3 linked regions of the Elephas maximus indicus genome follow. Each later gene encodes a partner of the first gene's protein in a complex. Links are inferred from orthologs where the notes say so. Each region holds a gene or a part of one and is shown on either strand. Other genes may lie near its edges.

Region 1 (10,682 bases):
GTCTACTTTACCAAGCATGATGTCCTTCTCCAGGGACTGATCCCTCCTGAAAAGTTGTCCAAAGTATGTGAGACACAGTCTCAACCTTCTTGCTTCTAAGGAGCATTCCGGTTGTACTTCTTCCAAGACACATTTGTTCGTTCTCTTGGCAGTCCATGGTATATTCAGTATTCTCCACTAACTCCACAATTCAAAGGCATCAATTCTTCTTCAGTCTTCCTTATTCATCGTCCAGCTTTTCCATGCCAGTGATCCAATAGAAAACATCATGGCATAGTCCTCAAGGTGACATCTTGGCTTTTCAACACTTTAAAGAGGTCTTTTGCAGCAGATTCGCCCAATGCAATGCATCCTTTGAGTTCTTGACTGCTGCTTCCATGAGTGTTGATTGTGGACCCAAGTAAAATGAAACCCTTGACAACTTCACTCTTTTCTCTGTTTATCATGATGTTGCTTTCTGGTCCAGTTGTAAGGATTTTTGTTTTCTTTATGTTGAGGAACAATCCACACTGAAGGCTGTGGTCTTTGATTTTTATCAGTAAGTGTTTCAAGTCCTCTTCACTTTCAGCAAGCAAGGTTGTGTCATCTGCATAATGCAGGTTGTTAATGAATCTTCCTCCAGTCTTGATGCCCCGTTTTTCTTCATATAGTCTAATTTCTCAAATTATTTGCTCAGCATATAGATTGAATAGGTATGGTGAAGGGATACAACCCTGTTGCACACCTTTCCTGAATTTAAACCACTCAGCATCTCCTTGTTCTGTTGGAAGGACTGCCTCTTGATCCGTGTACAGGTTGCTCATGAGCACAATTAAGTATTCTAGAATTCCCATTCTTCGCAATGTCCTCCAAAATTTGTTATGATCCACACAGTCAAATGCCTGTGAAGTAGATACTATTATTCTCTAGTTTACAGATGAAAATAATCAAAGGCTCGGGAACATTATGTGACTTACTCATGCTCACACAGCTAGTAAAGGGGATAACCAAATTTCAAACTTAAAACCCATTGCTGTTGAGTCGATTCCAACTCATAGCGACCCTATAGGACAGAGTAGAACTGCCCCCGTAGAGTTTCCAAGGAGCGCCTGGTGGATTCAAACTGCCAACCTTTTGAGTAGTAGCTGTAGCACTTAACCACTATGCCACCAGGGTTTCAAACTTAGAGCTGTTCTATTCCAAAATTGTGTTCTCTTTTCAAAGTTATCTAATTTTAATTTTTATCAAAACCACAGGTGTGTATAATTTAAGAAGGCATATTACTATTTTGTACTTCTCTGCCTCTCTCTGTCTCTGTCTTTCTCTCTCTCTATATATGTAGCCCTAGTGGTGTATTGGTTAAGAGCTTGGCTGTAACAAAAAAGTCGGCAGTTCATATTCACCAGCTGCTCCTTAGATACCCTATGGGGCAGTTCTACTCTGTCCTACAGGGTTGCTAGAGTTGGAGCCAACTTGATGGCGCATAACAACAACAACAACAACTATATATATATTATATATATACATACACATATTTTTTGTTGGACCTCTTGGTGCTTAGCAAATTCCCAGGCACAGTGCAGGTAACACAGAGTTGGAGCCAACTTGATGGCGCATAACAACAACAACAACAACTATATATATATTATATATATACATACACATATTTTTTGTTGGACCTCTTGGTGCTTAGCAAATTCCCAGGCACAGTGCAGGTAACACAGAAAACACAGAAGTAACTGTTAAATCGATAGAATCATAAAGTGTCCCCAAAGAGACACACGCCAATTCAGCTCAGCCCATTGATAGTTTGGATTGTATGATCCTATGAAGATACCATGGTTTCCTCACGTTTGAGTTGTCCAGATGAGAAAACATGGTAGAAGAAAGTCCTGTTAGCCAATGTGATCAAGATGGATAGGTGGTTGTTTAAGCAAATAAAGTCTGCTAGTATAAGAAATCACACAAGAAATCTATCTGTCCCCTAATTACTTATTATTTATCTAAAACATGTAAATATATGCATTTATTCATCAGTCTTGTTGCGTAGGGCTAAGACCTTTTTTGGTCCTCTAAATACAGCAGACTTTGGCTTCTTGGATAAATTGCACCTGTTATGCACCGTGGTTGATTTCCAGTCTTGTTCCTTTAGTCTCTAGATGCTAGTAAAAAAAATTTAGTAAGGGCATCTTCTTAAATTTTATAAGATCCCTCCACCCTCCTTATCCCCAGTATTTTAAAGTGGTTCTTGACCACTTGACATGTGGTTGTTTTTAGCTGCCTTCAGGTCAGCTCTGACTCATGGTGATCCCATCTTCAACCGAATGAAATGCTGTCCAATTCTGTGCCATCTTCACTGGTATGTGTGAATCCCTTGTTGTGGCCACTGTGTATTTTGTATGTCTTTCAAGCTAGGGGCTTATCTTCCAGCACTATATCAGACAATATTCTGCTGTGATCCAAAATGTGTTCATTGGCTAATTTTCAAAAGTAGATCTCCCGGCCTTTATTTCTAGTCTGTCTTAGTCTGGAAGCTCACGGAAACCCATTCACCATAGGTACTTGAAATACTATTGGTATGGTTTTTACCATCATAGCAACGTACAAACTACCACAGTATGAAAAACTGACAGACGGGTGATGACAGATTCTAGATGCTGGTGAAGCAGTTTTAGTGAAGGCACCGTTTTAGGGTTATGAACACCCACTCCCCCACCCCCCGTATTTTAAAGTGGGTCTTGCTCACTTGACAAACATGGCAGTAAACAATAACAATTCATTGACTCAATTTGTTATCAAGTCTTGGCAAAGTTCTTACAGAAAAAAAATATCTTGGGGCTTGTATGAGTTTTCTATCGCTCTTGTGACAAATCACCACAAATTTAGTGATTTTAAAGGAACTCAAATATATGATGTTACACTTCCATAGGTTAGAAATCCAGCACAGGTCCCATGGCTGAAATCAAGATGTCAGCAGGGCCATGTTCCTTTCTGGAGGCTCTAGGGGAGCACCCACTTCCTTGCTGTCAGCTTTCCTTGGCATGTGACTCCATTTTCCCATCTTCAAAGCCCACAAAGTCAGGTGGAGTCCTTCTCATGCTGCTGTCTTTCTGGTTCCTAACTTCTGCCAGCCTTTTCCACTTTTAAGGAGCCTTGTGTTTACACATGGAGTTTCTGGGTGGTGCAAAGAGCTAAGCCCTTGGCTACTAACCAAAAGATTGGAGATATGAACCTACCCAGGGGCATCTCAGAGGAAAGTCCTGGCAATCTGCTCCCAAAAGCTCACAGCCATGAAAGCCTTATGAAGTACCATTCTACTCTGACTCATGTAGGGTTGCTATTAGTAAGAATTGACTCTACAGAACTAGTTTTTCTTTTTCTGGTGATTATATTGGGCCCACCTGGATAATCCAGGACAATCTTTTTATTTTAATGTCTCATGATTAAAACCAAACTTGTTGCTGTCAAGTCGATTCCAACTCATAGTGACCCTATAGGACAGAGTAGAATTGCCCCATAGGGTTTCCAAGGAGCACATGGTGGATTCAAACTGTTGACCTTTTGGTTAGCAGATATAGCTCTTAACCACTGCGCCACCAGGGCTTCCGTCTCCTGATTAGGAACCTTAACGCCATCTGCAACCTTAATTTCTCTTTGCCATGTAACCTAACATATTCACCAGTTCTGGGGATTAGGATGTGGGGCACCTTTAGGGGCCATCATTCTGCCTACCATAGAGCTCATACTTGTTTTACCTTAGTTTATATTCTACTAAGCAGTTTACATAATTGCAAGTGTAAATTGGGGTTGGGGGCAAACAGTACTGACCCCTGGTCAGTGTAACACTCAGATGTCAGGAGTAGAAGTTCATATGAAAAGCAGCCTATGAGCTGGAAGTATACAGCTGCCTTGGGCATCATTTGGTATATTTTAAAAAGAGAATGGAGAATTCTGGATAAGCCAGCCAGTTGATGAAGAACAGGTGGGATAAGAGGGCTTCTACTGTGAATTCTTACTTTAGCCACATCAGAAAAGACCAGTCACTAGACAAGGAATTATGTTTGGTAAAGTAGAGGGCCAGTGAAAATGAAGGAAATCCTCAAAGACATGGATTGGCACCAATAGCCACAACAATGGATCCAAACATACCAATAATCAGGAAGATGGCACCAGAATAGGCAACGTTTTGTTCTGTTATACAAAAGGTCGCCCTGAGTCTGAGCTGACTGATGGCAGTTAACAGCAATTGCGAATTCAATCTTTCCTCTTCCAAAGGATTTTAAGTGAACTTCTCTTAAAGCCAACGTTCAGAACCCGAAAGCCACACGTAGAATTAAATTGTAAGCAAATGTAACAATGTGTGGGTATATGTGCATTTTTCTGGTTAGGGAATCTGGCTTTCTTCACATCCGAAAAAGTTTTTGACCCAGGAAAGATGAAACATTTACCATGATCAGCCCTCTGTTTTTGTTATTTGGGTACAACCCATTTCCATGATTAAATTGTCCATCCTTGAGACTTACATAGTGGGAATATATCAGAGAGATTTTTCAACTAAACCACAGCACTTACCACTATGCCTGGCATACAGTTCGTGCTCAATAAATATTAATTTATTTCTAAGGTAAACCTTTGCCTCTGTGAGTTGAACACTTGCAGATTTAACAAGTTTACCAGATTGTTTTAGTTTCAGTCATTCTATTCCAAAGAAGCGAAATATGTTTATAATCACATACTACTTACGGTGCTTCTTGCCAAGGAGCGTCACTTCATCCTTTAAGAGGAAAAAAAGCCGAACTTGTATTTTAAAACTTGTTTTGGAATTTTGAAGAGCTGTTCCAGTGTTCTGCGGTTAGATCGTACTTACGCCTCCAGTTGTATTCTGCTCTGTAGTCCCAGAGTTGGCACCAACGACTTGTTGAAAATATTATCAGTGGTAAGAGACCTACTACTGAGAATTTTATTAACACAAAAGAGGGCCTGTAAGAAGTTTACTGATTATAAACTTTTTCTGTCTAAAAATTTAAATTAAAAAAAAAAAAAAAAACTTGTTGCTGTTTTGAGTTGGTTTCTGACTTATAGTAACCCCATAGGACAGAGTAGAACTGCCCCATAGGGTTTCCAAGGCTGTCAATCTTTACAGACGCGTATGCCACGTGTTTCGGCTGGTGGGTTCAAACCACTGAACACTGGTGGGTTTCAGTTAGCAGCCAAGCTCTTAACCACTGCGCTGCCAGGCTCCTCCCAGAAATTTAAATAGGCTGACCACTTACTCATTGGATTTGTGAATTAAAGCACTGAAATTCTCTCCATTCCAACAACAGGGGAATTTCTGGCTTTTGCTTCTCCTGTGACTTCTCCCTGGAGCTGAGAACACTGTCATGCAATATGTTTACAATTACTGAATTGTGGGGGACTTGTTTCTCAAGTGTGTGTGTTTCAGTAATACTGACTGGCACACCACCTCCTCAGTCTTGGAAGAGTCTAACGTTTTTTTCTTCTTTAGTGCTGAGAATTCTGGGATCATCAACCAAGAATTGGATGGGACCTTAGGGGACGCCACACCCAGCCTACCATCCACTGCATGGCTCCTTCTGCAGCATTGTGTTTCAAGCTTTCTTAAACTGCAAATCATTTTAAGAAGTAAGTTTTATACCACAACCGAGTGTGTGCGCACACACATACATATACATTTAAAACATAGTTTTCAGGAAACATTACTTACCCTTACTACAGATACTATGTACTGATAGTTTCAATTTTATTCTTTTTTTTTTTTTTCTGTTCTATTGGGTTCTAATCTAATATATAACATATGAAGACATTGGTGGTAAAGTGGTAGAATTCTTGCCACCCATGTGGAAGGCCTGGATTCTGTTCCTGGCCAACACACTTCATATGCAGCCATCACCCCCCTGTCAGTGGAGGCTTGCATGTTGCTCTGGTGCTGAACATATTTCAGGAGAGCTTCCAGACTAAGATGGACTAGGAAGAAAGATCTGGCAATTCACCTCTGAAAATAAGCCAATGAAAATTCTATGGATCACAATGGTCCGATCCACAACCGATCATGGAGGTGGGACAGCACTGGACAGCATTTCATTCCATCTGTGCCCAGGGTCACCAAGTCTACAGCAGCTAACAATAACAACAACAATATATAACATATAATATAAAATATGTGATATAGACCGATGCCGGTTGTGTACCCTCTAAATTGATTTCATATCTTACTAATCTGTTGCAAGAAGCCCTAGTGGTGCAACGTTTAAGTGCTCAGCTGCTAACCAAAATGTCGGCTGTTCAAACGCACCAGCCACTCTGCAGGAGAAAAGACCTGGTAATCTGCTCCTGTAGATTATAGCCTTGGAAACCCCATGGGCAGCTCTGCTCTGTCCTATAGGGTTGCTATGAGTCGGAATCAGCTCTACAGCACACAACGACAACAGCAACGTGTTGCAGCCCACAGTTTGAAAACATGGAACAGCCAAATTCCTGGCAGATTTTTGGTCGTCCAGTCTTCATTTGAACAATTTCACCATTGAGCAGTTTAATATCTTATGAATGGTATTCATACATCTGATAATTTTTGAACAACTGGCTTTAAAGATGTCAATTTATGTTGTGTCCTCTCCTAGACTTTGTAATAAAGCACTATCTGCCTTCAAGAAATGTTCCCTACGGGTCAGGCTTGAACTGGGTGTGGCCTGAATCTCATGTTCTGGGGTAAACCATGTGGCCAATAAGACTCCCAGGGTTCTTCCCTACAGTTAGGGCTTCCCCTCATTCTACGTAACTTTAGGATTTTAATTGCTACCACTCTCAATTGAATTTTCATTTTTCTAATGTGAAGATTCCCTCAAAATTTGTGGTCAATCTGATTTAAAAAGTTTTAGGGATGCTGATGACATGGTCCAATGTCTACTTACAACATTTATGTTATTAATTGCTATACACATATATATTTTAGAAACAATATTATATAAAATTATATATCGATTTAGGATTATTGATTTTTTTCCTACTATTGCATTTCATGAAACAACTTTATTTAATTCACCATGCGCCTCTTTGATGTTAGTTTTTGGCCCTCTCTAGATTAACTTTTGAGTTGCCTAAGAAATACTTCATTCCCGTCTAAGCACATTGACACCGTTCCTATCTAATTTGTTTGAGATTCAAAACTCTTTGGATACATGATGCTGTCGCTGTAAATTTTATCCAAACCATCAATACCTATTTGCATAGTTTTTCTTTCTTTCTTCATGTGTAATATTTACATGGCAATTATGTTTCTTTGTAACAACCTTGTTTTTGTTGTTGAGTGCTGTCGATTCTGACTCATAGTGACCCCATGTGACAGAGTAGAACTGCCCCATAGGATTTTTTTTTTCTTTCACTGTAATTTTTACAGAAGCAGATCTCCAGGTCTTTCTCCCATGGAGCCTCTGTGTGGGTTTGTTGAGCTATAAACCACATATCAAACAATTCACCCATTCAATGGCTTTTAGTATATTCACGGAGTTGTGCAACAGTGACCACAATCAATTTTAGAACATTTTAATCATCCTCCAAAGAAACCCCATAACCACTAGCAGTTACTTCCCAATCCCCCTAAACCCCTATCTCTAGGCAACCATTTCTGTCTCGGTAGATTTGCCTATTTTGGACGTATGAATGGAATCACACATGTGGTTATTTACGCCTGGCTTCTTTTACTTAGCATAATGTTTTCAAGGTTCACATGTTGTAGCATGTACTGGGGCTTCATTTCTCTTTGTTTAAATTTGATTTTAAAGTAATCTTTAAAAGGATTGTCTAAAATGATACTCACTTCTTCCATCAGGAAGGTCATGCCCACCCAGAAATGATTACTAAATCTGTGTTAAATTCCTTTTTCTCTTTTTAAAAACTCAATTCTGTCTGATGACCTTCATGACTATGAAAATCAGTGTTAAATGCATACATTTCAAGCTAAAGTATCTTGACAAGTGTAATGTGTTTTGTTCCAAATAAAGTAATGAGAATGACATCTGTAATATGAAAGACTTTATAAACGCCTGAAAATAGTGCCTGTCTTAGTTACCTAGTGCTACCATAACAGAAATACCACAAGTGGATGGCTTTAACAAAGAGAAATTTATTTTCTCCCAGTCTAGCAGGCTAGAAGTCCAAATTCAGGGCGTCAGCTCCAGGGGAAGGCCTTCTCTCTGTTGGCCCTGGAGGAAGATCCTTCTCATCAATCTTCCCCTGGACTAGGAGCTTCTCTGTGCAGGAACCCCCGATCCAAAGGATGCACTTAATTCCTGGTGCTACTTTTTTGGTGGTATGAGGTCTCTCTGCTCACTTCTCTCTTTTATATCTCAATAGAGATTGGCTCAAGACAAAAACCAACCTTGTAGATTGAACCCTGCCTCATTAACATAACTGCCACCTATCTCACCTCATTAACGTCATAGAGGTAGAATTTGCAACACATAGGAAAATCACATCAGATGACAAAATGGTAGACAATCACACAATACTGAGAATCATGGCCTAGAAAAATTGATACACATATTTTGGGGGGACACAATTCAGTCCATAACAGTGCCTCTCCCTTGGTTCTGAGTAATAATTTAGGGGAAATTTACTGTATCTTTAGGCATATATAGTATATAGTAGATATAAAAGGAGTTGTGTTATCTTATCCTCAACAAGAGAAGAGAAAATAGTATTTTTTTAAACATGTATCAAAGACCAGGCACTTTACTTGGCACTCTCTATATATTATCTTATTTAATCTTCACAGCACCTTATGAGACAGGAAATACTATCTTCATTTTATGAATGAGGAAGTTGAGTATTTCTGGTGAGAAAGCAGGTAGGGGAGCCTGTAGTCCCACTTGCTCAGACTTTCCTTGTACATGGTCTCCAATTTCCCCTTTTCTATCAGTCTGAATTCACACAATATACATTTCATTGATCATGAAGGTCAGTCAAGAGTTCCATGGCTCCAAACCTTGTACTATATGACAATAGTAAGTTCACAAGCCCCATGACAGGGACATATAGTTGACATGCTCTGATACACTCCCCAGCCTTCCTTCTAGTTAGGACAGAACCATATTACTTGTGCTGTCAAATGGCTGTGAATAGAAGTGGAATTGCGTTGGAAGTAGTGATGGATGGTGAAAGCTTTCAGACCCCACTCCTTCTCTGAAAGGACCCTAAAATCAGGTGACGAGCTGAGATAATCACAAAATATTGGTGCTTTCATAAGACCGGCTCCTCGAGGGATCCAGGGGAATAGAGCCTGCTCACAAACCTGCACTGGACACTTGGCATAAATAATAAAATAACTGTGTGTGCGTGTGTGTGTGTAGTCATGACATTCTAGGGTCAATTTTTTACCATAACATAACCTAGCCTACCTTGACTCATACATATATTAAAGTTCATTTCCTTTAGTTCAACCAGCTTTTACTGGTAAACTACTAGGTGGGCTAATAAAAATGTGGACTTGATAAGTGTTGGGATCTCTGAGGGAGGGGCCTTAGGGTTTTCACTGGCTAATTTTTCAGAATTAGATCACCAGGACTTTCTTCTTTGTCTGTCCTAATCTGGAAGCTCTCTTGAAACCTGTCCATCATAGGTGGCCCTGTTGGTATTTGAAATAATTGTGGCACAGCTTCCACCACAATAGCAACATGCAAGCCACCATAGTATGACAAACTGACAGATGGGTGGTGGAAAACAACCAGAATGTTCCTTAGAAGAAAGGACAGCAAGACTTCAATTAGCTTACTTTAGACATGTCATCAGGAAAGACCAGTCGCTAGAAAAGGACATCATGTTTGGTAAAGTAGAGATTCAGGGAAAAGAGGGAAACCCTCAGTGAGATGGGCTGACACAATAGCAGGAACAATGGACTCAGACAAACCAGTGATCATGAGGATGGACAACACTTTGTTCTGTTATACGTAAGGTTGCCATGAGTAGGAGCCGACTCAATGGAAACTAAAACCAGTAGGGAGAGGCCAATAAATCACTTTTTAAAAAAATGAATAAAGCTTATATTGGAAAACCAGTTAAGTGGGATTCATAATACAAACTTCAGGATGAGAAAGGCTGAACCTCCCAGCCACAGGTGGCATTCTTCATTTTTGTCACAGAGAAGTAAGTGCTCATTGAAGAAAAATTATTCCTCAGAGAAAGGGAAGAAGACCTCCCTTTTTTATTCTAAACTTTCCAAGCAGAGAGTCAGTTGATAACCCCAAAGGAAGAGGACAAAGGGTGAGAGTGCTACACCAATAACAAACCAAAACCAAACCCGTTGCCGTCAGGTTGATTCCAACTCACGGTGACTCTATAAGACAGAGTAGAGCTGCCCCATATGGTTTCCAAGGAGTGCCCGGCAGAGTCAAACCGCCAACGCTTTGGCTAGCAGCCGTAGCTCTTAACCACAACACCACCCCCTCCCCAAAAATGCCTATTTTATCTGATCCTCATAAAAAAGCTTAAGAGGCAGACACCTTTATTGCTCCTATTTTACGGGTGAGGTTATTGAGGTTTATATATGGGAAGCGACTTGCTCAAGGCCACTTAGCTAATAGCTAGCACAGCTAGGATTCAAGCCCCAATTTATCCAATTTCATATGCTCTTATTCCTCCTTCACGGGAAAGATGAGGTTAGAAGGAATTGGTCAAGAAAGGCTTCTAAA
Region 2 (10,265 bases), on another chromosome or scaffold:
GAATGGGAGACTCGAGACAGTGGACGTACTGAGAATGTTGGCATGGCAGGACCACAAAGACCCCCATCCCCCAGCGCCCATACACACTTGCACTCACATCCCTCGCCTGTCCTGCCGCCGCCGCCTGACATTTGCCATTCGCTCGACCAAGAAAGATGGTACCTCGTTGGTTGCGGTGGTCATTTTCTGACAGTGCTAAGGAAAGAGAGCAGCCCTGTGTGACCCATCTGATCAGGGCCACATGGAACCAAGAGACTTCCAGAGGGGAAGTCTTCCTTCTGAAGCCCCATCTGTGACTGAACTAAAAAAAAACCAAAAAACAGGTATAGCCACCTCAAAATTATATATGCTAACGGAGGGAAGCAGTAGCCCAAACAACCCAAAGAAAATTCCCCTAGGCCTATGATTTTGGTAGCATATTATCCTGCAGAAATGAGTCTATACAGGCTAATATTAAAATCAGCCTAACATTCCCTGAGAACATACCAATAAAAAGTTGGGTGAGTTTGCCTAGTTAAAGTTTAACTAGGTGGTTTAAAGATGCCAGATGGGATAAAAGCATTTTGTGGAAAATCCTCATACGGTTAATAGAGCACTAACTGCATTTTCACCTGCTTTTCCAGCACAAACAACTCAAATTCTACATGCTACCAACACATGAAAGCATGCCCATCTTTCAAAAGCAATCATTTAACACCTGCTCTTTGCAGAGATCTACAAGGTCATAGAGAAAAATAAAAAATGCAGGCTCTACCCTCCACCAGCTTAAACTTTCCCTAAGAAGACAGAACACATCATGCAGTGACTGGAGAAAATATAAAAAAACCCACAAGGGTATGTTAACATAGGTGCATTGGAGACCTAAGGCCCCTCCCATGGCTGTACTGAATTCCTCTCCAAACCCATATGGTCAGAGATTTGGCTGAATACCCTGATGCATTTTATCTAGGTTGTTCCAGACTCCACTCACCTGGCTCATTTCATGATTCAAGCAGGAATTCAAGCCCAGTGGCTGCTTCTTCAGTTGGCAGTCTACAAGGCTATCACTAAAGACACTGGTCCCTGCTAGCTCCCTGGCCCTCCAGAAGGCAAACAAGGCAGCAGCAGCCACACCACCTGCAGACTGTGCCCTCTCTACTCCAGTGTGGCTGCCAGCAGCATGCAGGAGCTCTAGGATGGCTACCTGTCTCCCCTTAACAGGCTTCTGATTTAGCACACAGAACCCACTGAGGCCAGAAAGCTGGGGGACGCAAAGTGGAAGAAGGGAGCTATGGGACCTCGGAATGAACGATACCTCCTCCAAGTTGGTGTATCTATCGGAGTCGGTATAGGTAAAGATTCGCCGGTTCTTCCTGCCACCTGAATCCTCCAGCTTCAGGATCTCTTGACGGTACTGGTGATCCAAAGGGCTCTGACAGGCTGCTTCATTTTGGTACAGATCTACCTCAAACTGAGGTCACCACAAGGAAACAAAAATCTACTGAGGATACTTGAAACTTTTGTTCCTGTAACTTTTTAATCAAATTATTTCTATAGAACTGATGCTATTTGACATGTTTTCAGAACCTAAGCTAATGGTCGGCAGGGGATTCAAAAAAAGGAACCAGGGTGACATTCTAATGCAACTCTTCTGCTACAGATGGCATGTGGCCCAGAGATGATACGTGCTGTACCCAAGATCATAAAACTTAGTGGCAGTCAGAATTTGACCCAATAAACACAACAAGGGACAGTATACACTGTTACAACCTTTCCCAAAATCAGTTTGGCAGTATGTATCAATAATCTTCAAAGTAATATTTTAATCCAGTTATTCCACTTCCAAGAATCTTATCTGAGAAAATAATCAGAGAATCAGATGAGGCTTAATACAAAGATCTCACTGAAACACTGTTTAAAATTAGTGATGTGGGTCTATCAGCAAAGCCCTGACCTGGGGAGCCGTGTTGGCAGCAGCCTCTCTTTCAAAGATGGGGATCTCTTTCCCTGTTGCCAGCCAGGTGGAGATGGGCCAGATGGAAGTACACTGAGCTGACACGTGACACTGGCTCACCTGGCTAAAGAGCTTCTCCTGCCACCCGATCACAACCTCCTCCTCTTCATCTTCATCTGGGCGATGACCACCTTCAAACACAACAGAGTGAGTCAACTGCTTGAGCCAAACCAAGGCCACTGTGGTTGGTTATAACCAAAGCCTCTGCTCTTATATTTACGACAAATCCAGCTGGAGTTCAGTGATTTATTAAGTACTCACTCTGACAGAAACTAGTGAGGCTGAATATGTGCTCTGGTTAGTATGTGCAGAAACCAGGATTAGAACCCAAGAAATCTTAACCACTACTCTAATTTGAATAAAAGGTGGTCCTGCCTTCCAAGTATTATTAAATCTAAGTCAGTGTCAGGGACTGAAATTTAAATATAAGCTGAACAGCCCTTCCTCAATCTCAACAGCCTGCATTTGCTAGAAAAGAATCCTGAAGCGATGTATTTAGAAACACAAACTCTGTAACCTTAAGAGGCTGAGGCGGGAAGAAGAAAGTCAAATAAATGATTTTTTTTTTAAAGAGCAAAACCTAATCCACTCCTGGCTGAGTATGTCTTTTTCAGAGACACAGTTCACAACCCACCAGCCCATGCTCTTGCTCAGGAATATTTCTCAACAGAAGCACAACAAAAGCACAGCGACTAGTGACTTAACACAAGCACTCTCCTCTGTCCTCACTCTTCTGGCTTCCCAGACAAGAAAAACCGCAAGAGCACAGTTGATGTTAATATGTACATTTGTCTAGCAGTAAAGTTGAGGACTATTTTAAAGTCCTCAACTTTAAAATAGTTTATGCATGTGTTTAGAGTTAGGACATATTTTCTTTTAGAAAAAAAAATTGTTTCAAATGGTATTTAGGCTGCCAGGCAAATCTATAACATATCAAAAATAAGGTTATTTGTTATTTCACTACAGATGACCACAATTCACATCAGTAACTTGATGGCAGGAATCACAGTGTAGTGCCTAAAATTGCCAGGCTTCAAACACTGGCTCTGACATTAACCAGCTGCAGGACCTTCACAAGAAACCCAACCTCTCTGTGCCTTAGCTTCCTCATCTGTAAAAAGGCTGCTGTCAAAAAGTAGACCTGGGTCTACTCTGTCGTAAGAGGTAAGTCTACCACCCCAGGCCCTTCCCTCAGGTCCCCAGGAGGGCCTGCATCACCACATAACACCCACTGGCGGTTGGTTGGGGCCTAAAAGTGGCCAAGTCTATGAGGTCCTTCCCGGGCTGGGTGGCAGGCTGGTAATGGAGAAAGTTGCCTGATGTAATTCTTTGCAGGTGGACTCTGTCAGGAAAAGAGACGTCCAAAATACGCGTTACAAGGCACACAACTAGAAGATAAACACAGAGCAAGTATGGAAAAAGCAAAACACTGAGCAGGGTGGGGCTGCCAAGGTGTGTTAGGTGCAGAAGACTGAAGGGAGGTGAGTGAGACACGAGGCTCTCAGGGGAAAGGTGAAAACAAGAGGGCGTATTGAGGACTCAGGGCTCCGAGGAATTTGGGTAGTACAGAGACTGAAGAGGACTGCGTGAGTCTGGAAACTGTGCTGGAAGGCTCGGGGTGGAGAAGGGTTGAGGTAGTGCGATGAGATGTGGGAAGATGAAGATGTGGCGAGGATTGTAAGCGGAAGTGGGGGCCTCAGAACATTGAGTTCAGGCTCGAATTATCTGAGGGGATAAAAGCACGGAGCCCAGGTGCCGGGGCAGTGCTACTACCGGAGGCGCAAGTTGCGCACGGGGTCCCGGGAGCGGTACACGGCCTCGCCGGTGTCAGAGCTCCAGACGGCCTCCGCCATGACGGCTGTGCTGCGCCGCGACTGCGCCGGAAAGCGCGCCGCCCCTAGTTCCCCTGGCAACCGAGACGCTGAGTCCCGAAGGTCGCCGAGCCGCTGCGTGCGCAACTCACTGTTCCCGCCGCGGCCTGCAGCAACGCAACGCCTGTGGTCAGCATGCCCGTTTCGTATAGATGAAGAATGGTCATGGAGACGAGGCTCGGGTGATCTCAGCCACTACTCTTTCCCCTGTACCGCACTGCCTTCCACGGAGCACACGAAAGCTGTGACCTGAAAATCGGTTACTGTGACTCAAAGAGTGCACCCCCTCTTCCCAAAAGAGCTAGGGCAGGTGGTGGCATTTACTTAGACACGAAAAGATATTCTTGGAAGAAAAAACAAGTGCCAAGAGACTTATTAGTCGCTGTGTTAGTATTCACTGAGATAGAGAAAGAGAAAACAAGGAAGTTAATAGTCAGGAAAGAAAAGATGTTATTGAATTGGTTTGTCCCTGTGAATGTTAAGTCACTTTAGAAACTGCACTGGCCTCCTGAAAGGCCAACAAAATGTCCTTCAGGAGTCATGCTTCATTGGCCTAGCAAAGGAGGCAGGGCACACCATGGCCTCAAGTCTGGCTCCCTGGCACCTTGGGGATGTCAATATTTATCACTGTTTGACATCTGCCACTCCACCAACAGAATAAGTAATTGTCCCCAGAACTCAGAAACCTCATGCCACTGGGAACTCTGGGTGGCATTTCTGCTCTTGTGTAACATCAAGGACTCACCATAATAATAAACCGGCCAAACCAAACTCATTGCCATCGACTTGATTCCGACTCATAGCAACCCTATAGAACAGAGTTAGAAATGCCCATAGGGTTTCCAAGGCTGTAATCTTTAAGGAAGCAGATTGCCACATCTTTCTCTGATGGTGCGGCTGATGGCTTCAAACCTTTTAGTTAACAGCCTAACCACTGCACCACCAGGGCTCCTTAAAATTACAGTCATTGAAAACCCTATGGAGTGAAGTTCTACTCTGAAACACATGCAATTGCCATGAGTGGAATGAACTCAGCAGGGGGTGAGGGTCTAATATAGCTTGGGCACTTGGTTTGCATTGTTCCTATGCAAGGTGTCCTAGAAACCCCTCAAGTAGGTATTGTTATTCCCACTTAACAGGTGAAGTTCGTGAAGGCTTGCTAAGATTGAACTACTAGTGAATGGTGAAGGAGCTGAGATTCTAGCTCAGGTTTGTCCGGATTCTGAGGCCTGAACGCCATCCATGTGCCTCACAGCCTTTCACCTACTGGTTCATTCCATAAGAGCACACGGTTTCCAACCTGGGAATAATTATTTCAACAGATGAAACCATGGAGACAGAATACTAGCTCCTAAAAAAAAAGGTCACTTTGATTTTTCCTTTTAAAGTTGTGAATGGATAACACTTATCACCCCAATAACAAACGATAAGGTAGAACTGCATCAACAGTTTAGTGTTATAAACAAACTTACAGCAAAGTCAATCTGACACAATTATATGCAAAATAGTTACCGTACCACCGAAGCCAAAAAAACCCATTGCCATCAAGTAAATTCCTATTCACAGCCACCCTGTAGAGCAGAGTAGAACTGTCCCGTAGGGTTTCTAAGGCTGTAATCTTTACAGAAGCAGACTACCACATCTTTCCCCTGCAGAGCAGCTGGTAAGTTCAAACTGCCAACCTTTCATTTAGCAGCCAAGTGCTTAACCACTTCACCACCAGGGCTCCTTACTATACCACCAAACCAAAAACCAAACCCAGTGCCATCGAGTTGATTCCAACTCATAGCGATGCTATAGGACAGAGTAGAACTACCCCATAGAGTTTCCAAGGAGCGCCTGGCGGATTTGAACTGCTGACCCTTTGGTTAGCAGCCGTAACACTTAACCACTATGCCACCAGGGTTTCCTACTATACCACAGGGTATGGAAATATACGCTATTTGTATGAGTGATCATAACTAGTATTATTTTTATACAGGTAAACTTAGTTTTTACGTTTTCTCCTTGTTTACTAAATCCATTGCAGTTGAGTTGATTCCAACTCATAGCGACCTTATAGGACAGAGTAGTACTGCCTGTTAGGGTTTCCAAGGAGCTGCTGGTGGATTTGAACTGCCAACCTTTTGGTTAGCAGCCAAACACTTAACCACTGTGCCACCAGGGGCTTTGTTTACTGGCATTATTTGGAAAGAGTTCATGACTTTTATCAGATCGCTGGAAGGAGTTTTTACCCTGATGTGAAGAATGGCCTGATTACCACTATCCAAACCCATTGCCGTCAAGTCAATTCTGGCTCGTAGCGACCCTGTAGGACAGAGTAGAACTGCCCCATAGAGTTTCCAAGGAGTGCCTGGTAGATTCAAACTGCCAACCTTTTGGTTAGCAGCCATAGCACTTAACCGCTATGCCACCAGGGTTTCCGACTACCACTATAATTATACAAAATTTACTAAAAGTAAAATCTCAATAATTTTCAAGAGAAAAGGCAATCAGCATATGCCAGCTTCAAGAGGACCCAGATATCAGACTAATCAGACAAGGGTTTTAACTATCATAGCCATGCTCTACTGTGGGCACTAAGGACAAACACTCTTGAAAAAAAATAGAAAGAAATTCTCAGCAGAGAAATAGAAACTATAAGAAAAGAAACAAATGGAATTTTATAACTGAAATAAAAATTCACTGGATGGGCTCAATAGCACAGTGGAGGTGGCACAGGAAAGTCAGTAAACACAAAGATAGGTAAATAGAAAATATACAATCTAAGGAGCAGAGAGAGAAAAAAGATTGAAAAAAATTAAGAGTTTCAGAAACCTGTGAGAAAATATCAAAAGTCTTAACATTCGTGACATTGGACTCCTAGAAGGACAGGAGAAAGAGTGTGGCAGAAAAAATATTTGAGGAAATAATAGCTGAAATTCTACCAAATTTGATAAAAGACGTAAATTTACAGATTCAAGAATGTCAATGAATCCTGAATAGGAGAAATTCAAAGAAATTGTTTAGGGAATATAGTGAAAGAAAAAGGGCTGGAATAGCCAAAACAATTTTGAAAAGAAAAATGAAGTTGGAGAGCTCACACAACCTGAACTGAAACTTACTATCAAGCTATAGTAATGAACACAGTATGGCATTGGTGAAAAGACAGAAACATAAATCAATGAAACAGACTGGAGAGTCAAGAAATAGACCCACACAAATAGAGTCAATAAGTTTTGACAAAGGTGCAAGGGAAATTCAATGCATAAAGTATAGCCTTTTCAACAAATGATGCTGGATGATGGACTTAAATGTCCATAGGCAAAAAAATGAAACTCAACTCATACTTCACACCTTATACAAAAGATAACTTGAAATGTACCTGAATGTAAAGCATAAAACATCTAGAGGAAAACATAGGAGAAAATCTTTGTGCAATTAGATCAGACAAAGAATTTTTAGATATGACAACAAAAGCGGGATCCATAAAAGAAAAACAAGAAAAATTGGAATTCATCAAAATTGAAAAAGTTGCTCTGCAAAAGACATTGTTAAGACAATGAAAAGACAAGCCACACAGTGGGAGAAAATATTTGCACTGGAAGAAAATACTTGCCTTATCACATATCTGTCCAAGACTTGTATCCAGAATATAAAAAGAAGTCTGAAAACTCAACAGTAAGAAAACAAACAACCCAATTAGAAAATGGGCAAAAGACCTGAACAGAGACTTTGCAAAGACATATGAATGTCAAATAAGTACATGAAAAGATACTCAGCATAATTAATCATCAGGAAATGCAAATTAAAACCACAAAGAGATGGTGGTTGGTGGTTGGAACCCATCCAGCTCTTCCGTGGGAGAAAGACCTGACAATCTGCTCCCGTAAAGATTACAGCCTAGAAAACCCTATGGGACAGTTCTACTGTGTCACACGAGGTCGCTATGAGTTGAAATTGACTCAATAGCACCTAACAACAACAACAATCAAGCTTATGAGTCCCTGGGTGGCACAAACAGTTAAGTACTTAATTACTAGCTGAAAAGTTGGCGGTTTGAATCCACCCAGACAGGGCTGGCAATCTGCTTTCGGGATAGCAGTCTTGAAAACTCTATGGAGCAGTTTTACTCTCATAGGATCACCATGAGTCAGAATCAGCTCAACAGTAACTAACATCAGTAACATCTAGAATATATAAAGAGCTCTTACAAATCAACAATAAAAGGGCAAATAAAAATATCAATAATCGTAAAAGTAAAAAAATAATGGCAAAGGATTTGAATAGACATTCCTCCAAAGAAGATATACAAGTGGCCCATAAGCACACAGAAATATGCTCAATATCATTAGTCATCATAGAAATACAAATCAAAACCACAATGAGATACCATTTTGCATCCATTAGAATGGTTATAATCAAAAGACAGATAGTAACTATATTCGTGAAAATGTGGAGAAATTGGAACCCTCGAGCTTTGCTGATGGGAACGTAAAATGGTGAAGCCACTTTGGAGAACAGTCTGGCAGTTCCTCAAAAGGTTAAAAAGAGTTACCCAGCAATTCCACTTTCAGGTATTTACCTAAGAGAATTGAAAAACATTCTGGAGGTCCCTGCTGGAGAGTCCCATAACCTGGGTCTGTGATGGATTAATGAATCCAAACAAAACTCGTATGCAAAAGTTTATAGCAGTATTATTCATAATAGCCAAAAAGTAGAAACAACCCAACTGTCTATCAACTGATGAAAGGTTAAGCAAAATGTGGTATATCCATACAATGGAATATTATTCCATCATGAAAAGAATAAAGTACTAATATATGATGTAACATGGTAGAACCTTGAAAACATGCTAAGTGAAAGAAGCCAGATGTGAAAGGCCACATATTGTATGATTCCGTTTACATGAAATTTCACACTAGTAAAATCCACAGAGACGGAAAATAGATAAGTGCTTGCCAGGGAGTGAGAGGGAGAGGAAATGAAGAGCGACGGCTAATAGGTACAAAGTTTCTTTTTTTTTTTTTTTTTGGCAAGGTTTCTTTTTGAGGTGAGAAAAATGTTTTGGAATTAGATCATGATAATTGTTGTACATGGAGCCCTGGTGGTGCAGTGGTTAAGCAGTCTAGCTGTTAACTGAAAGGTCGGCAGTTCAAACCCATCAGCTGCTCTATAGGAGAAAGATGTAGCAGTCTGCTTCTTTAAAGATTACAGCCTTGGAAACCCTATGGAGCAGTTCTACTCTATCTTGTAAGCAATAAGTTGGAATTGACTCAACGGCAATGGGTTTCCTTTTTTTTTTTTTTGGTTTAATATTTGCACAATTTTGTGACTATATTAAAACCCACCAAATTGTATACTTAAAATTTTTAAAAAACAACCTGCCTCCACAAAACTGAGCCTCTACCCAACAGAAAATAGAGATGCAGTGGTTAAGTGCTCAGATGCTAACCAAAAGGTTGGCAGTTGGAATGCACCAGTGGCTCCACGGGAGAAAAGACCTGGTGATCTGCTCCTGTAAGATTTACAGCCTAGGAAATGCTATGGGGCAGTTCTACTCTGCCCTGTAGGGTCACTATGAGTGAGAATCAACTTGACATCATACAACAGCAATAGCAGCGCACACAGTATGCAAAGATTCATTGGACTTCAAGGAGAAGGAGGAAAGAAGAACATGAAGTTATAAGAGGAGACATGGAGAAGGTCCCAGCTGGAGAGGCCCATAGCCTGTTTCCAAGATGGGCTAATGGATCTGAGAAGGCGGTTAAGACAAGAGGGACCGGGGAGTGATTGATCCCATTTCCCGGGGAGGCAGCAGCAAGACCTGCAGTAGGAACAGATGTGAAAAGACCATGGAAGGCTTGGCAGTGATGCCTGTGTCCTTGTACAGCAAGGAAGTGGCAGAAAGACTTCTATGCTTCATAGCAGTCAGGCAGAAATCAGAGAAGCTACTAGCCCTGAAGGGACAGGCTGACAAGGCAGAAGCCCTCCCCGGGGCTGAGGTATAGCTGGGTTATGAGCGCTCTATAAAGACCTTTGTGAACAGAAAACACTGAGTACCCCTTGCTTTTCACTGGGATGGGGGCAGGAGGACTCCAAATTTTCACACCCCAATGGAAACAGAAATGAAGTCAAGTTAAAGAAAAATCCGACTCGACGGCACTGGGTTTTTTTTTTGGATAAAAATACAGAACAGAATTTCAAATTCTCATGCTATTCAGACTTTCTGGAGCCATTTAGGCTGGATGAACCCTCAAAACTACTGCCTTGAGATAATCTTTAAACTTTAAACCAAAAATACCCCCTGAAGTCTTCTTTAAACAAAACGGTAGTTTAGCTTAACTAGTAAAGAATGTCTGCCTTGAGCATTATGCTTTTTCAAGGTCTATTTACACGGAATCAAATTTACCACAGCAACT
Region 3 (11,079 bases), on another chromosome or scaffold:
ACAACCGGATGACCTCAATTAAGGTTACTAGGATGATAATAGTGACCACAATAAATTTGTAGTAATCAGGCAAGATTGGATACTAAAAAAAAAAGAAAGAAACACATTTATAAAATTTCATATGGTAAAACTCACCGAGGATAGAGTAGAATAATTAGAACTTTAATTTTATTGACAGTGTAACAATGCCAGGGATGGGAAGAGACCTCAGCGTCGGTGTTGAAGCGGAGACTTACCTTTATGTGAAGCATCATAACGCTGCTCACCCACCAAAGCGGGAAAAAGTAAGTGTTAAAATAAAGCGACATCTGCAGTGCCAAACTGGAGACCATTTCATCATCTACGGAAGAAAGAGAGAGAAAAGGAACCAACTCTAAATGCTGGTCTATGCCCGGCAAATCCTTTCATTCCTTAGAATTAACAACTATAGTATTGGCTCAACGGAACTCTGTATTTTAAGCCTATTGATAAATCATTGGCAGTGAAAGGAATATTCATCATAATACCATTTAGCTGGTGTTCAAATATTGCCGATTGGGGGTATGCTTCATATTTCTCAATTACTTTACAATTTTGCCATGAGAGTCTGTGGACTCTTCTGCACACTGCTAGTATAGATTAAATGTGGAATAGCAATATGAGACTTCTTGAACAGATACCAATAATTGTCATTATCTCCTTTGTAGAGTTCTATGTTAACAGCCCATAAAATAAAGACATAAAATACATAAAAACTAGTCTCTCACATATAAACTAATCTCTTCCAAAAACTACTCTCCCCAAATTATAATCAGATTCACTACCCTTTCCATCATATTCTAACCCCACCCATCCTTTAATGGCCAATTCAATGTCACTTCCCATAAATCCTCCTTGATCCTGTTCCTCTGCCCTAGCGGAAATCTCCTTCCCCTCTGGGTACTTAGCACTCTAACCTGTGTATGAGATGAGTTAGCAAAGAACCACACTCTCCCAGTTCCAGGCACAGCCCGGTGCACTGAAGAGAACATCGGTGTGAGAGTATGTCATGGATTGAATTATGTCCCCTACAAAATGTGTGTATGAACTTGGTTAAGCCCTGTGTAGTTGTCCTCCATTTTGTGATTTTATGTTCAGAGGATTAGGGTGGGATTGTAACACCACCCTTACTCAGGTCACCTCCCTGATCCAAGGTAAAGGGATTTTCCCTGGGGTGTGGCCTATACCACCTTTTATCTCTCAAGAAATAAAAGAACAGGGAAGCAAGCAGAGAGTGGGGGACCTCCTACCACCAAGAAAGCGGCACCAGGAGCACAATGCGTCCTTTGGACCCAGGGTCCCTGTGCCTGATAAGCTCCTCGACCAACCATGAGAAGACTGAGGACAAGGACTTTCCTCCAGAGCCAATAGAGACAGAAAGCCTTCCTCTGGAGCTGACGCCTTAAATTTGGACTTTTAGCCTACTGTGAGGAAATAAATTTCTCTTTGTTAAAGCCTGCCACTTGTGGTATTTCTGTTACAGCAGCACTAGATGACTAAGACAGAGTCCAACTCAGCTGGACCTCCATTCCCTGACTTTGGATGCCAGACCTGGGATATGTTATTTAACCTCTTTGAGCCTCAATTTCTTCATCTGTAAAATGTTAACATTAAACTGAGCTTGGAAACCCTGGCTGCTAACCAAAAGGTTGGCAGTTTGAATCCACCACGCGCTCCTTCGAAACCGTATGGGACATAGGTCCTATAGGGTTGCTATGAGTCAGAATTGACTCAGCGGCAACAGGTGTACAGTAAAATGACCTTACAGGGTGCTTGTGAGGATTAGAAAGAATAAAAATTATTTCACCCTAGCCCTGTGCCTGGCACTTAGTAGGCACTCAATAAAAAGTAGTACCCTTTCCTTCTCCTCTTCTACCTATACACAGGCTCATCGTGAGCACAGATCATATCCTACTCCAAACTGAAGCCCTCACAGAACCACTGTCTTGCTTTACAACAGTAAATACCAAGCACACCTAACCTGAAAGAACGAATTAACGAATTAACGGAAACAAGCTGTCATAAGGACATTACCAGTGTAGCCATTAGTGAAAAATGAGTTCCATTTATCTAAGCCTGATTACATAATACCTTTTGCTTTTATGTAAAGGAGAAAGGTCCTAAATTAAGAATTTGATTGAAAAAATTGAACCCTACAAAACGCATCCTAAAATTGACTAAATTCTAACAATCTAAGAGCGGACACATATTTTCAAATCAATTGCTCTAAATGCAGGAATTTACAAAGGTTGTAAAATAATTCTTTTAAAAAGGTGGGTTTTTTTTCCTTTTTCTCTACAACTGAGTATTTTTTAATCTGTCATTTAACAAATTTTAAGAAATAGTCATGGTCTCTCATAGCAAGAAGGGTTCACTGAGCTAGAATATGTCTGATGATTATGAACTTTTTAATAGAATTTTTATTGTGGTATTTTTTTTTAAAATTGAAGAATAATGTTTTGTGATGCATGAAACCCATAAGAAATTCAAATCACAGTGTCTACAAATAAAGTTTTATATATGCCCATTCACTTCTTGTCTGTTGTTGCCACAGAAACCACATGGCCCGCAAAGCCTAAAACTTACTACCCGGCCTTTCACAGAAAAACTTGGCTGACCCCTGATTTAAATCACTACCTTGCATAGTCAGGTTTTAGTGTCTGTTAAGCCTCAGCTTTAGTATCAGAAACGAGAAAACCTAATTTTTCATATTATGTCTTTCTCTGTACCTCCCAAATCATAAAGAGGCCTAAAATTTGGGGGAACAGGCAAGTGATCAATGTGACAAACTGCAACTATGGAAACTGCTTTTCTTTGCCACCTTAAAAAAAAAAAATCCTTAAAACCAGTCAGAAGAAAAAGTTTCTATTTCTGAACAGAGTTCAGTGATGAAAACCGAATGGGTTTGGTCAGACAGGATGGTATCTGTCATCAAGATTAGGAGGAAACTGTTTTGGAGGAAACTGCGTTATCACTTGTCATCCTGTTGAATGCAGCACCGTGACTTTGTTACCAGATTTAGGAAAAGAGCTATATATAGTGGAGGAGGAGAAGGCAGGGAAGGGGACAAGTCGAAGGCCGTCTACTGTGGCAGCTGCCACTCTGAAGTGAACAAAGGTTTAAAATGACTCATTAAAAAATGTTTCTTTCATCTCTTCTGCTGGAAAACGTACTTGTGGAGGAAGATGCTTGTCCTGCGGGGAAGAGAGAAAAGGCAAAGGTATTTCCCAGGAGGGCGGGGGTAATGATAACGCCACTTGGGTTGTTTCCCCCGATCCTACCCAGAAAACCTGGGCAGGCGCAGAGGAAAATCAACGTCGGCCTTCGCAAAGGCGCGGGACCCAGCACACGGGGAAGGCAGCTTTTTAATTTTTTTTTTTTTAAGTCTCCTCGCAGGCAGTGCTGCGCCTCATACGACACAAAGGCCCGCGCCAAATCTGCTGCGGCGCTTGCGACGCGCCTCCCGGGCCACAGCGTGAGCCGACCTGGACTGGACCGCGGTCGGGGCCCGGCCCAGCCAAGAAGCCAAAGCGCTCCGCGCACCACGGTGACCTAGCTGAAGGCGGAATCGCCATCTTAGGTGCGGGCAAAATCTGGCTGCTCAAAAAACCCGCGTCAGGCCCTAGGCGGGCCACACCCTCTGCGCTGGGCTTCGGCCACTCACCCGGACCCTCGGTGTACTCCGGCCCGGTCCGGTTGGAGTCGCTGAACACGGTCCGGCTGAAGTTTCCCAGCCGCTGGCGGACCGGATCCGGCAGCTCCATGCTTGGGCCTCAGTACCCCTCGCCCCTCAGATACAGTCGAGTCTGCGGGCGCCGTGGCGCTCTGCGGTCCCCATGGCAACCGGGCGGCGCGAGACGTGGCGGGGCCTGGACACGCGCTCAGGGCGGCACTGCAGGGGCCGAGTCTGCCGAGCCGAGTGTGCGGGTCGCAGCCTGCGCGTGGTGGAGGAGGTGTGTGGAGAGCGCCGCGGTGGTGTTCCGAACGGCAGATTCTTTAGTCCCGTTTAAGCTCCACCATCTTCAAAAACAACAGCCTAATAAGAATAAATGATCTGGGGTTGAATTGTGATGCAAGGATTCCTCACACCTTGCCAGCGTCTGTAAATCGGTGCAATTTTCCTGAAGGGAAATACAGACCGGATGCAGAGCTTAGAGAATGTTCGTGACCCAGTAGCTCCTCTTCTAGGAATTTTATATGTATATACATATGTGTATACATATATGTAATAATGTGCACTGATTAAAAAAAATAATTTGTTTAATAAAAATTATAAATTACGAAAATATGCAACAATGGGGAACTGATTAAATGTATTAGAGCACATACATTCGATGAAGCGCATTGCAGCAGCTTATAAATAACATTGCTGCGAAGAATATTTGATGATATGGATTGACTTGAAAAAAAAAAGTACAGTGAAATAGGAAAGAATGTAATTTAGCAAAATTTGTGTGTAAATGGGGAGCGGGGGAAGGAGAGAGGGCTTGCACACTGGTTAAAAAAAAAGACTGGAAAAAATTACAGAATGTTAACAATGTTATTTCTGGATGGGGGATTCTGGGTGATTTCAACAAGAAAGTTTCTTTAAATATTTCTGTATTTTCCAGCTTTCTCTCAAATAAGATGTATTACTTTAAGTTTTTGTTTTTTAATTAAAATATAATATGTACGTATATAAAAAAATAAAAATAATTTTTTTTTTTATACATACAGAAAAGGACACAAACTGAATTTACACGTGTGTTTAGTAACCGGAGCAAATAGAACCTTACCGGCGCTGTCCTTTTCAGTCACTAAGCTCCCCACTAACCTTTCCCGATCTGTAATAGCATAGAATAATTTCCTGTTTTTATAGTTTATATAAAAGGAACCCTATAGTAAGCACTTTTTTGAGGAGCCCTGGTGGTGCAGGTTAAAGCACTCAGCTGTTAACTGAAAGGTGGGCGGTTCTAACCGCCCTCTGCTCCCCTGGAGATAAATGTGACAGTCCGCTTCCATAAAGATTAAAAAAAAATTTGGAAACCCTGTGGGGCAGTTATACTGTCTTTTAGGGTCACTATGAGAATCGACTCCACTGCAGTGGGTTTTAGGTGCTTTACTTTTTTTTTTTTTTCCGGATCTGGCTCGTGGCCTTCTACGTTCGTTGTTTTTTGTAAAATTCATTTACATGGTTGAGTATGTGTAGTTTCGTTCTCTTTGTGGTGTGTGGCCGTACCACAATGTGTTTATACATTTTACTGTTGACGAACATCTGCGTATGTTTTTCTAGTTTGGGACTGTTATGTTTGGATTTGTGTTGGAGTGGAATTGCTGGGTCATAGGATATGACCCAGCTTTAGTAAACACTCCCAAGCGGTTTTCTAAAGTGGTTGTACCAATTTCTGCTGCCTCCAGCAATGTATGAGCATTCCTGTTGCTGCATATCCTTCACCAACACTTGTTATTTTCCACCCATTTCCTTTTAGCTCTTCTAATGGTTGTGTGGCGAACGGTATTATTATTATTTTTTACAAACAAAAGGAAAACCACATATGTTTATTTAAATGTCAAGAGGAAGGTATGGGAGGAAATGCTAACTTTGTGGCTAGAATTTCATTTTAATTCAACAGATGTTTATTGCATTCCTACTAGTATTGCTTTCCTACAAGGCATTGTACTAGACTAATTAGGAATATAATTCCTCCTCTCAGGAAGCTCAACCCAGTGAGAGGGAGAGATGGAAACAAATAAATACCGTACACTGCTGTAAGTGCTTTAATAAAGGAATGCTGATGAGGAAGTGATTAATTCTGCCAGAGGTCTCAGCTGTCAGGGAAAAACTCACTAATCTGTTTCTCTTTAAGATGTAGCTGAGGCCTCACCACCTCCAAAGATACTCCCAGGATCTCCCTGAAGCTGGCCTAGGTGCCCTCCTCTGTTTCCCAAAGCATTCTTTACTTACTTTAGTCAAGGTGCTGGTCACGCTGTTCATTGTCTGTTCATGTGCCTGCTTCTCTTGCGAGTCCACAAGCTCTTTGAGGTCAGGAATGGGCTTTCATCTGTGTATCTCCCAACACTAGCACAATGCCTGGCCTAGAGTGGGGGCTAGATGCCTGTTGAGTGATAAATAGAAATAAAAGGCCTAATGACCACTCCTATATCTTCCCGGTTCTAGTTAGAGCAACCTCTGCAGTTAACCAGCCTTTGTAAAGCCTACTCTATACGGTGGAGAATTGGTATATTAAAACACAGTGAATTAAAGCAACCAGAAATTAAAAAAAATTTAGCAACAAAGAATCACTTTTTAGCTAATACATGAGCCAAAACTTTCAAAAAGGGTGCAGTAAAGCGAGCTGTTGGGCTGTGGTGGAAAGAATGCCCTTGAAAGCAGAGAGCAGGGTTCAAGTCTCCTAAAATTCTCACTCTATCACCTAATAGTTGTGCGATTGATTTCAGGTTCTTATTTTGTAAAATAGGAATAATGATAATCTTTTTTTTTTCTTTATTGTGCTTTAAGTGAAAGTTTACAAATCAATTCAGCCTCTCGTATAAAAAGTTATATACACCTTGTATATGCTCCTAGCTGCTCTCTCCCTAAAGAGACAGCACACTCCTTCTCTCCACCCTCTATTTCCGTGTCCATTCAGCCAGCTTCTGTCACCCTCTGCCTTCTCATCTCCCCTCCAGACAGGAGCTGGCCACATAGCCTTATGTGTAGAATCTCATTCCTCACCAGTATCGTTTTCTGTCTTATAGTCCAGTCCAATCCCTGTTTGAAGAGTTGGCTTTGGGAATGGTTCCAGTCTTGGGCTAACAGAAGGTCTGGGGACCATTACCTCCGGGTCCTTCTAGTCTCAGTCAGACCATTAATTCTGGTCTTTTGATGAGAATTTGGGGTCTGCATCCCACTGCTCTCCTGCTCCCTCAGGAGTTCTCTGTTGTGTTCCTGTCAGGGCAGTCATCGATGGTAGCTGGGCACCAGCTAGTTCTTCTGGTCTCAGTCTGATGTAGTCTCTGATTTATGTGGTCCTTTCTGTCTCTTGGGCTCATAATTACCTTGTGTCTTTGGTGTTCTTCATTTTCCTTAGCTCCAGGTGAGTTGAGACCAACTGATGCATCTTAGATGGCTGCTTGCTAGAGTTTAAGACCTCGGAGGCCACTCCCCAAGGTGGGATGCAGAATATTTTCTTAATAGATTTTACTATGCCAATTGACCTAGATATCCCCTGAAACCATGGCCCCCAAACCCCCGCCCCTGCCACTCTGGCCTTCGAAGCATTCAGTTCATTCAGGAAACTTTTGGTTTAGTCCAGTTGTACTGACCTCTCCTGTATTGTGTGTTGTCTTTTCCTTCACCTAAAATAGTTCTTGTCTACTATCTGATTAGTGAATACCCGTCTCCCTCCCTCCTTCCCCACTCTTGTAACAATCAAATAATATTTTCTTCTGTGTTTAAACTATTTCTTGAGTTCTTATAATAGTGGTTTCATACATTATTTGTCCTTTTGCAACTAATTTCACTCAGCATAATGCCTTTCAGATTCTTCCACGTTATGAAATGTTTCACAGACTCATCACTGTTCTTTATTGATGCCTTGTTTTCCATTCTGTGAATATACCATAGTTTATTTGTCCATTCGTCCATTGATGGGCACCTTGGTTGCTTCCATCTTTTTGCTATTGTATACAGTGCTGCAATGAACATGGGTGTGCATATATCTGCCCGTGTAAAGGCTCTTAATTCTCTAGGATCTATTCCAAGGACTGGGATTGCTGGATCATATGGTAGTTCCATTTCTAGTTTTTTAAGGAAGTGCCAAATCGGTTTCCATAGTGGTTGTACCATTTTACATTCCCACCAGCAGTGTATAAGTGTTCCAGTCTCTCCACAACCTCTCCAACATTTATTATTTTGTGTTTTTTGGATTAATGCCAGCCTTGTTGGAGTGAGATGGGATCTCATTGTAGTTTTGATTTGAATTTCTCTAATGGCTAATTTTTTTTAATGGCTAATGATCATGAGCATTTCCTCAAGTATCTGTTAGCTACCTGAATGTCTTCTTTAGTGAAGTGCCTGTTCATATCCTTTGCCCGTTTTTAATTGGGTTATTTGTCTTTTTGTAGTTGAGTTTTTGCAGTATCATGTAGATTTTAGAGATTAGACGCCGATCGGAAATGTCATAGCTAAAAACTTTTTCTAGTCTGTAGGTAGTATTTTTACTCTTTTGGTGAAGTTTTTGGATGAGCATAGGTAGGAATAATGATAATTTTACTGAAATAGTTGATGTATAGATTATAATATTAAATAAGGCTCTGTATAAATGAAAACCACATTAAAAAAAAAAAAGTTGCCTTTGAGTTGATTCCGACTCTTTGCGACCCTATAGGGCAGAGTACAGCTGCCCAAAGGGTTTCCAAGGAGTGGCTTGTGGATTCAAACTACCAACCTTTGATTAACAGTCAAGCTCTTAAGCCACTGCCCACCAGAGCTCCAGAACTATCATTACACCTCTACTAAAATGATGTTTATGAAGGAGAAACACCTATGGTGGAGTTAAATCATACCAGCATTTAATTTTCTGAATTCACCTGTATTACCTGCTAGGCAATACCTGTATTGCTTTCCTAGCAAAGGCAGTGGATGAAATTATCCTTAAAATAGTCCGTGCATGATAACCAAATTTATCAAAAGCTTCAGTGAATTCCGTTAAAGATTTTTCCTAGCATTGAAAGAAGAAACGAAACATATTGTTCAGACTGTAATTAGTTCATCAAAATCCTAGAGGAAGAAATTGATGGAATTATGGATATTTTCCTTCTACTTTTATTATCCAAATTTCCTATAATGAGCATGCTTTTCATATTTAGAGAAAGGCCTTATTTAGAAGATAGATTGAGAGGAAGAGGCAGTAATGGTGCAGAAACACATTAGAGAAGAGAGTTTTGAGAGGAAAAAAGTGTGGAAAGAATTCTGCCATTACTGCTGTGGCAAATGGTCCAAAGGGCTCAAAAAGCTTTCCAAATATTATTTTGATAGTTGATTCTCACAGTATGCATAGGTAATCACATTAGGGAAATATTGAAGAACAGAGAGAGAATTCATTTTCGCAAAATTAAGAGGCTAATACAATTTGGGTCTCCCATTTTTGCATCCATTACTACCTCAGGCTCTAAAGACAGAAGTATGGAGTTGCCATTCTTAGAATCATAGGAATCATTCCCAGCAAGATTAATATAAGATTAATATATAACCCTATAAAGTTAAACTGTTTACTTTCTAGACCAATGTTGAGGTTCACAGTAATAACTTCTTCAATAATTTTTTAATGTATTTCATTGTGGTTTAACTACATTTATGGTTTACTTTCTTATATATCTATTTTCACAAAAATGGTGCGGGTGCCACAATGGTTTGTTTTTCTTTGACAAGAGGCGAAGTTATCTTGTAATGATATATTATTATCTTATAGGACAAGAAATTAACTTGGGGAGTTATTTAAATTATTCTTTGGCATAATAAAGATACAAATTCTTTCACTTGATGCTAATAAGAAGTTTAGATATAATATTACTTAATGACTGTGTTATTCAATTTATTGCCTTAAAATGAACTATGAGATATTTCTCAGAATTTAGATAATTTTAAAAGATAAATTATATATTTGGGTAGAATATCTTCAAATATAATTCTACGTCAGCATCCACAATAAAAAAATCTTATTCGAAATTACCTGAAACATAATCTTATCGTCCTCAAATTGTTAACAGATAATCAAAAGCTTTTTGAATTCCTGGTAGAATATATTCCATTCACAGCACTTCACAAAAGTTTATAAGAAAGAGTCAGGCTATGAATTATGTAGAAAATACCTTATGAAGAGAATTTTTCATACTGTGTTTGGTGACATTTCAAGGACGACTTTGATATTTTGTCCTCGAAGACATACCCATTGAGAATTTTTATTAGAAAATTATTTGCCTTTTAAAATGCTGTTTATTATACACATGAATTTGGTTCTTGGGCATTTCTTTGTGTCTGCCTATGACACCGTTCATCTGCTATATCAAGCAGCCTCTCTGTGTGTCCAACTGTATAGGAGTTGGGAATGTCAAGCCGAGGGAAAAAGATCAGGAAAGCGAAAACCCGCTTAAGGAAACCTCAGATCTGCGAAGTGAATTGTGATACTGATTAGAAGCATTTTATTGAATATGTAATAAGTTCTATTTTTAGTAGTGATAGTATTGCTCTACTAATAATATTTTTTATATTATACTGTGTAAAGTATAAGTTATGTTCCCCTTTCTGGAAGAAAATTAATTTATTATCTTTTATTGACTATAATAAAACATTACTTACCCACAGTAAATAGTGATAGATCATTGTGATGGTTAAGGTTGTGTCAAGATTTTGCTGGGCCAGGATTTTCAGTGGGTTGGCAGTTACGTAATGATGTAATCTGGCAGTTATATAATGATATAGTCATCCTCCATTTTGTGATCTGATGCAATCATCCTCCATTTTGTGATCTAATGTAATCATCCTCCATTTTGTGATCTGGTGTGAGGAGCTGATCAGTTGAAAAGGGAGTTTTCTTGAGATTATGGCCTGCATCCAGTACATATGGGCATTCAGCAATGCTCACTTCCTTGCTCTGGATCCTACATCCGGCCATCATCATCTGACCTCCAGTTCTTGAGACTTGAGCCAGCAACCTGCTGCATTGTCTGCTAGTCTCAGATTCATCTGCCTCAGCAGCCTGTGAGCCAGTGGCCTGCTATCTATCCTGCCGATCTTGTGTTCATCAGCCCCTGCAGCTACATGAGTCAGGAGAAGCCTCCACCCTGATGCCTGACCATAGACTTGGGATTTGCCAGCCTCTACAACTGCATGAGCAATTTCTTTGAGATAAATCTCCCTGTATATATTTAGGTATATACACTTTACTGGTTTTGCTTCTCTAGAGAACCTAGGCTAAGACAATCATACCCTCTTGTTTGTTTTAAATTGCGGTTCTGTGTCTCTGGGTGCCACAAAAGGATCCCCAGTGGTGCAGTGGTTAAAGTGTTCTACTGCTAATC

Evidence for each region.
Region 2: CC2D2A (region 1) and MKS1 share a complex: the UniProt entries of both Homo sapiens proteins name them as parts of the tectonic-like complex. The link is inferred for Elephas maximus indicus from reciprocal best matches to the Homo sapiens genes CC2D2A and MKS1.
Region 3: CC2D2A (region 1) and TMEM17 share a complex: the UniProt entries of both Homo sapiens proteins name them as parts of the tectonic-like complex. The link is inferred for Elephas maximus indicus from reciprocal best matches to the Homo sapiens genes CC2D2A and TMEM17.

The regions. Positions count from the first base shown.
Region 1 is NC_064823.1:150,138,907-150,149,588, forward strand, and holds the start of CC2D2A (coiled-coil and C2 domain-containing protein 2A), read right to left. Parts: upstream 4,886-10,682; 5' UTR 4,847-4,885; intron 4,754-4,846; 5' UTR 4,723-4,753; intron 1-4,722. UniProt on the Homo sapiens protein: Component of the tectonic-like complex, a complex localized at the transition zone of primary cilia and acting as a barrier that prevents diffusion of transmembrane proteins between the cilia and plasma membranes.
Region 2 is NC_064837.1:35,807,126-35,817,390, reverse strand, and holds the start of MKS1 (tectonic-like complex member MKS1), read right to left. Parts: upstream 4,176-10,265; 5' UTR 3,847-4,175; coding exon 3,767-3,846; intron 3,336-3,766; coding exon 3,226-3,335; intron 2,125-3,225; coding exon 2,054-2,124; intron 1,451-2,053; coding exon 1,295-1,450; intron 196-1,294; coding exon 98-195; intron 1-97. UniProt on the Homo sapiens protein: Component of the tectonic-like complex, a complex localized at the transition zone of primary cilia and acting as a barrier that prevents diffusion of transmembrane proteins between the cilia and plasma membranes.
Region 3 is NC_064835.1:74,242,440-74,253,518, reverse strand, and holds the start of TMEM17 (transmembrane protein 17), read right to left. Parts: upstream 4,127-11,079; 5' UTR 3,783-4,126; coding exon 3,683-3,782; intron 341-3,682; coding exon 237-340; intron 83-236; coding exon 1-82. UniProt on the Homo sapiens protein: Transmembrane component of the tectonic-like complex, a complex localized at the transition zone of primary cilia and acting as a barrier that prevents diffusion of transmembrane proteins between the cilia and plasma membranes.